2 linked regions of the Arabidopsis thaliana genome follow. The protein of the gene in region 1 interacts with the protein of each later gene in a pairwise test. Each region holds a gene or a part of one and is shown on either strand. Other genes may lie near its edges.

The links. The genes of interacting proteins can lie anywhere in the genome.
Region 2: the proteins of FHA2 (region 1) and AT5G18037 interact in a two-hybrid assay, tested with the Arabidopsis thaliana proteins (one large-scale study listed by BioGRID).

What each region holds. Positions count from the first base shown.
Region 1 is NC_003074.8:2,295,954-2,300,072, reverse strand, and holds FHA2 (SMAD/FHA domain-containing protein), read right to left. Parts: upstream 2,188-4,119; 5' UTR 2,106-2,187; coding exon 1,511-2,105; intron 1,314-1,510; coding exon 1,156-1,313; intron 876-1,155; coding exon 666-875; 3' UTR 501-665; downstream 1-500. Other genes in the region: AT3G07230 (wound-responsive protein-like protein), read right to left, coding at 83-153. UniProt on the Arabidopsis thaliana protein: May play a role in the control of plant organ development and specifically in the regulation of stamen development. Does not show transactivation activity in yeast.
Region 2 is NC_003076.8:5,970,314-5,973,443, forward strand, and holds AT5G18037 (NAC (No Apical Meristem) domain transcriptional regulator superfamily protein), read right to left. Parts: upstream 1,254-3,130; 5' UTR 1,216-1,253; coding exon 1,000-1,215; 3' UTR 788-999; downstream 1-787. Other genes in the region: AT5G18040 (target of trans acting-siR480/255 protein), read left to right, coding at 2,643-2,739, 2,909-3,130.

The DNA.
Region 1 (4,119 bases):
AAGAATGACACATCAATAGATAGATCTGGGAACAACATCGAGATAATCTCATATTTGGATCAGACAAGACAAGATTTTGTACCTTTTGTCGGACGAGCTACCCTTCTGGCTCAGGAAGGATCTGAATAGACCAGAGTTCACATCATAGATCATCTTCACTCAACTATCTCGTAAGCTTCGATTACCGGAAGAAGGGGAAGATCTGGACAAAATCGATGAAACGGAAGCAGTTTTTTTTTTTTATATAGCTTTTTCGATCTCAGAATTTTGCTTTAGTGGCTGCTACAAGATACGAGTATAACCCTAAGTTTGCACATTCCAACCTTTTTATATTGTCTGGATACGTACTTGAGCCACTTTGGATCATTCTCTGTTTCGGCCTTTTCTCTTTTTATGGCCCAAATCCACCGAACATAACGATTTCTGAATTGGCACGAATTTTTTGCCCTTTGATGAAAGAAAAATCTCGATGGGTTTATCAAAAATAAGAATCAAGAAAAAGAAAATCAAAATCTCTCAACTGCAAGGACCAAGAAGTTGGCGTTTTTGGGTGCAGAAAAACGACACAGCGTGTTACTAATCAATGCCAAAATATTTTACATATGAAACAAAGAAAAGAGAGAAAAGCTTCTTAAATCTTAATCCGAGTCACTAAGGTAAAGTTCTCATGAGAGTAGGGTAACGAGGGAAACGAATTCAAGGGTAACTCTTCCCTTTGATCTCGTGTTGATGACGAAATGCTCCGGGTATTTTCTCAGCAGCATCAGCAAACCGTACCATGGTTTACCTTTTGCTTCAGGGATAGCCCAGTCTTCTTGTGATAGGTATCTTCTTACTCGACTGTGATGCCATACGTTTCCATACTCCTTTAATATCTGTCACAGACCAACCACTACCATGCATTAGCCATCATATTGAATCACAAAGAAGTTCATAGTCAGACTACACTAGTCATTCAAAATCTATGGAGTAACTGACATACTTTCTAGACTTAGACACATATAAGTAGCGTAGCGCGTTTCCATTGGAAAACTAATTAAGGACCTAGCTTCACACTAATTATCACCTTGACATTATACAAGTCTTGTTTCAATTGATTACTCGTACTACATTCTGTATTAGAAAAAGGCAAGGAACTTTCTCATAAAAACTAACCACCGAATGAAGTTTTTCCATAGGCATCCACTCTCCCGGACCACACAAATCGGAAAGCACAGTGGCAACAGACGATACAACATCTTTTTCCTCCAGCTGCAAAAATTGTTGATCATCAGCTTCACGATCTACCTTTGATCTTCCCTCTCTCTTCTTCTCTGCACAAATGAAGCAGATACAATGTCGTGGTGTCACTAGCATTCAAATTCAATCCAAGTCTAACAAGGTTCAATCAGCAACCACCACAATCAAAGTCTAAAGAAACAAGCCTGATGTGATCAAGTAAGCATCATAATCTGAAACATATCTAGTTGCACAATGAAAACTCAAACAATCATGAGCAATCTGGTTTTACCTCCGGAAGCATATACTACTTCATGTCCATCTCTCCTTGTTTTCTTTCCACTTCCTCTCATATCGTCCTCCTCATCGTCGTCGTCATCATCATCTTCATCATCGTACTCATACAACTCTCTACTCCTGACGCCCTTCTTACCCGACCCAGAACCTGGACCCGACTGATAATTATGGTATGGAACAACACTTGTTTGCCCAGAGACGTGGTGCCTAGGTCCCAACGGCCCGCCTAAGATGCTCCGAACCGGTAGGAGAAAGTAGAACTCTTTGTCTCCGATCTGCAAAAGGTCTTGTGAATCGAGCTTGACGTTAGGATTCCCAGGGAGATGAAGAACACCTTCAACGAGGCAGCCATTTTTGCCAAGGACCTCGAGAGAGAAGCGTCGTCTAGTGAAGTCATAGAAGATCCGAGCGTGGTTGCGCGAGATGTTCATCCCACCGCCGAGGGATGAGAGATCAACGTCGACGGTGGCTTTCTTAGAATTCCGGCCGAGTATAATGGAGTAAGACTGCATATAGTACTCGAAATCCTCACCTTGAAGCTTCGCAAATCCAACCTCCACATCGCTTCCGCCACCAACAGCCGTAGCCATGCCGTGAAATTCTCCGATTTGATCGAAAGAGGAACCGGGACTTCCAAATTAGGGATTGCAATCGTAATAATTTGTGAATCGAAGCAAGATTTGTTTGGAAACTGGTTTAGCTTATCCAGGACAAAGGCTTATTTTGTGAAATTGACGATTATACCCATGATTTTAAGACCTGAATAAAAACCCTAATGACACAACTATTTAAAACAGCCGAAGAAACATTGAGAATGGCGGCGAGATCTGTGAGCTTAAAGGTTCCATCTCTCCCGCAAATAGTGGAGCATCTTATTGATTGTTTGAATTTTTTGATTTCGTTTGCTTTAGAACATAGGCTTGGTTAGTTTTATGTAACCTTTTGTTTATTTTCGTTGTTGGTTTGATTGAATAAGTTGCCAAATGATGATTGAAAATTTTGCGCAAGGGTTTTGAGTTTCGGATGATTGGAGTTTACTCTGGTCTGAAGGAACCGTGACAAAATTATTTTCTAATAATTCATTCTGATGGCAGCTCAATCATTGTTAGATATATCAAATTTCAATTCGAGTTTTGGGTGCATGGTTTGATTCGGATGGTTAATTGTAGTTTGTTTTGTTAGTAGAAGCTTGGTTTTGGGGCAGCTTAATGAATTTTAGGATTCAAGTTTTCAAATCATTTAGCCTATAATGTTCTGAAATGTGTTGTGTAATGGCTTTGATTTCCTGAGGATCTGACTATAGAATGTTTAAAATCCTGAGGAACGGTGGGAAATCATGTATTTGTGTTTCTTTTTTTTTTTAAGATTCAGGTTCTACAAATTATGCTTAAAGGGCTTTGAGCTCCTGACCGCTTGTATTATGAGATCCAAGAAAATGTGAAAAGTCGTTTTTTTTTCCTTTCCCATTTTGATGGTTTGGGTTGCATTTTACTGTTCTTTTAGTTATCATGACTATGCTAGATTCTGGTCTGGACATAAGTTGCTTAAGATGTGTGGAAATTATGCGTAATGGATTTAGAATTGGCAATTTGTTATTTGAAGGAATTCACTTCTATAGATATCCTTTAATGGCACCCGTTCATGGTCAGCTCCAAATATGCAAGAAATCGGAAAATGCATTAGTGTAGTCCTCTTTTCTGGTATATTGTCAATACTCAAATCTTACATAAACTTTGTTTCAAGGACAATGAAGCATGTGGTCAAGATTTTGAGCCTGCTGGTAGCTGTCTCTGCCTTTTAGTTTGCTCTCTTGCAGGCTGCAATTATGGCTCGTAGCCAAACATAGTTGGTTAGTAATGAGTCTGTTGTGCTCATTTTTGCTTATTGCTATTCTCAGTTAGTCAATATTAATAATGTATATCTTTGCACCAGCTACCTATATACGTTGTAGTGTCCTTTGCTATTAATTGTTGGAATCGGTTTAGTGCAGTTCCCTACCTCTCCTAAAGAAGCAGTTTTTCTGCAGCGGGTACTTTCAGTACTCTTTTCTTTCTTTGTTAACTCGAATTGTTAATTAAGGTTAAATTAAGTTCTTGACTAGTGCTTTTGCTCCTAGCTGTTGTTAATGTTGATTATGTACTAGTTTGTTTTGGTGCTATTGTTATATTGCAGGATATTGCAGATGCAAAAAGACTTCTTAAGCGCTAACGGAATTGATGTTGGATCGGATTTGACACATTATGGTTTACTTCTTTTCAACTCCCTAACCAGTGTAATAGAATACTTGGAGTCTTCGATGGTTCATAGAAAGAGTTCCCATTTTCATTATGTACAGTCGTTTACTATGTTTTTTTGAGAGATGTACATTGAGAAACCGGTGTTTGCAATTGGATTTTGTTTTGGGGTTTTAAACATGATGAAGAACAATGTTATTCTGATAAGTTCACTTTAATTGACTTTTTTTTTTGGAATATCGTTTGTTACATTTTTTCTCGTGTATACAATAAGTTGTGAATCCAACTCTTTCAAGTTTAAACTACTTGAGATTAACTTAAATGCTCCAATAAAATTGATTGAATTGGATTTTCTAGTTTTGTTTGTTTT
Region 2 (3,130 bases), on another chromosome or scaffold:
TTTAAGAGGTTTTAAAATGATTTACAATGGTTTTTAGCAACTACCAAAGCTTTTAGAAAACTTTACAAGGTTTTTTAAAGAGTTTTTAAAAAATTTACAAGGTTTTTTAAAAGCATTTTTTGGCTGGGAAAAAAATTTTACGAGAAAAATTTTTGGCGGAAAAGTTTTTTTTTGGCGGGAAAAAAAGTTTGCCGGAATTTTTTTTTTTGGCGGGAAATTGAAAGTTTCCAAGTACTTGTTATTATTAAATGAGGGTAATTTGGTCATTCTGTTCAAGAAAAAAGATATTTTTAAAAATAAATAATATAAAAGAGTATTATGGCAAAAAGGTAGTCAAAAAATATAGTTTTGCAAATCTCCCATTAATTTAACCAATTTCTTATCCATTTCGTAGGCCAAAGTTTCTCTTTTTCCTTCATAGGCATGGATGGGCCTGATCATTATTAATATCTCATATATTAGATGAGATAATCTCTTTGATCCTCAAAACAAGAAAATATTTTTTCGTTTGTGAAAACAAGAAGGTGAGCAGTTACAAACTCCTCATAAAAATAATGATCTACATGTCTTTAAATAAACAAGAATATACGAGATTTTCCTAAAGTTTTTATGAGGAATTTAAATAAATTATGCAAAGGGAAATATCAAACTAGACACAAAATTGAAGTAAAATAAGATAGAAGTAGAAGTTATTATCCTCTTCACTGAAAATTTACCAAGACACATAATCATGGTCCTTTAAGGTGGCAGAGAACTTGAACATGGAATAATGAGCCACCGTTTTCGAGATAGTATTCTGTCATGGTCCAACCACTGGCTTGTCTCTCACCTTTGACGTAGAAACTTAGACTTCTTCCCAATCACTGCACCGGTATCTTCCAACACGACATCACTCAACTTCCCATGGCCTTTCCAACATCCATCAACCGTCTCTCCTTTGACTTTGCGGCTGATGCGTTTTCCAGTAACGTTTTCAGAGAGATGATTCACTTTCACGAACTAGAACCATTCATTAGGTTCCAAAAAGTTAGTCTCGGTGTGAGACAACCGCCACGGCTCTTTGGCATAGATGTCAAACTTGTCTTCTAATTCAAATTCTTTATTTGATCTTTTGGTAACCTTAGGCCCGATATAACGGATGATGAGTTCTTGGGCAGAAGGATGAAACCAAAACCCAACATGTTCCTCTTTATCGTAGTACTTAACCATCGACATATTCTTTTCTTGTTCTATGAGACAAAGAAAACGCAAATCAGACAAAAAGTTAAGGATCTATATATTATAGCAATAATCCAAGGGGAACAACAAATGATCTTTAGAGCAAAACTGAAAAACAATAATAAACGCGTTGAAGACTTGAAACTTTCAGGTAGACAAATAGAAAAGGTGATTTCGTATATATATGTGGATTTTAAGGATTTTTAATATATTAGGAAAACGATTCTTTAAAAAGGAAATATATCCATGTAATTCAAAGCCAATATTCTTAAAATTAGATAAGTAAGCCAATATCACATTTTTTCTTTTCAAATTTGTAATGTTGGTTTTAGCGTATGATATTTTGTCTACTATTTTCTTTTTAAACTTATTTTGTCTTATATCTTTTTACAAACTAAAAAACAAGATTATTCTTTTACTTATCTAAATAATGTTCAAAGACTGGAAGATTTCTTGCTCTTCTGATATGGAGAGATACTTGTATTAGTACTTGAAGAAGCTTATGCCTCAAATATTTTCTTGCTCTCCAAAAAATGCATTGACATGATCGTGATCGGTTGCACAAAAAATGGTATCCACTCTCTAAACTTTTAGAACAAGTACTCTTTCAAGAAGAAAGAGAAAAAATCTATTTACAACGAATAAGTCGATGTCTAACTCGGAAAAACAAAATGTTGGATCATCATCATTGGAGCCTAAAAGAAAATTGTTGTTAAACTATAATTGTTGCCCTTAAATAAACAGGCAAAAACGATGTTGTTAAAAAGACTTTTAAAAACATTGGCAATGTCATAAAAACGGCAACGTTTTAAGGAAAGTTTCAAACGTCGTCGTCTTGAGGACTAAAGTTGAAGTCTTAAAAAGGCGACACGTTTCGGGACAAAGCTGAGGGGAAATCTTCGCGACGACTGTGAGAGTTTGTTTCGCGAACATTCTCTGAGTTTCTCTCGACGCGACGGCGATTGCGAATGTCTTCTCCTTCTGATTCTCGTCTCTCTGTGTCTCCGGTAATTTCTCTCAATTTTCTCTCTCTGTTGGATTCTTTTAGCTTGTTTTGGATTTGTTACCGATTCTACTCCGTGACTTGGCCTTTCTCAGTGCTATTAGTGAACAGAGATAAACTTTAGGGTTTGAACTTTTTTTTTTGGATGAATGATTTGAATCCTTTTTAACGTTAGAGTTGTTCTTTGTTAATGGAAGCTATCATTGTTACTTTGGTTTACTCTAAAGCTTCTTGTTCGACGATTTTTCCTCTGCAACTAGAAATGGTTGTGTTTATGTCAAAACTTGAAACCATGTTTATGGTTTTCGCTAGTTAGGTCTTGTTTTTGTTTTTCCTTTTGCCTTATCTGCTTGACTCTACTGGATTTCTGAATGTGTTCTTCTGCTGGATTCTACTTGAAACCAGGGATAAGTAATCGAAGATGAATATGATTCAGCGATTCATGCAATCTATGGCAAAGACGCGTGGCCTCTGTCATCCAGATTGCGTAAAAGCAAGTAGTGAGCAAGAAGATTACGGTAAATGAATCAAATCTTGTTCTAGAGAACATTACTTTATTCGCATCGTTAAGAGATACTGTGATTGATTTTAGCTGATAGTAGTTTACTCCCTTTTTAATATAGTCTAATCCTTTGAAAGAGTCATATGAATTGACTACAACATTTTCATTTTTTTTTTGTCTTGCAGATGCGTCTCAGCTCAGTATTTGGTGGATAATGCTGGGAAGGAAGACGACCAGGGAGAAATGGATGAACCAAGCTCTCAGTTCACTATCGAAAACTTGCATCAGTATATGGTGGAAAATGTCTGGAATAAGAGGTAAGATGTGCAGGGAGAGGGAGCAACCACTCACTGTCAAAGACTGCCTTGAATGTGCTTTCAAGAAAGGGCTACCGAGAAGAGAACATT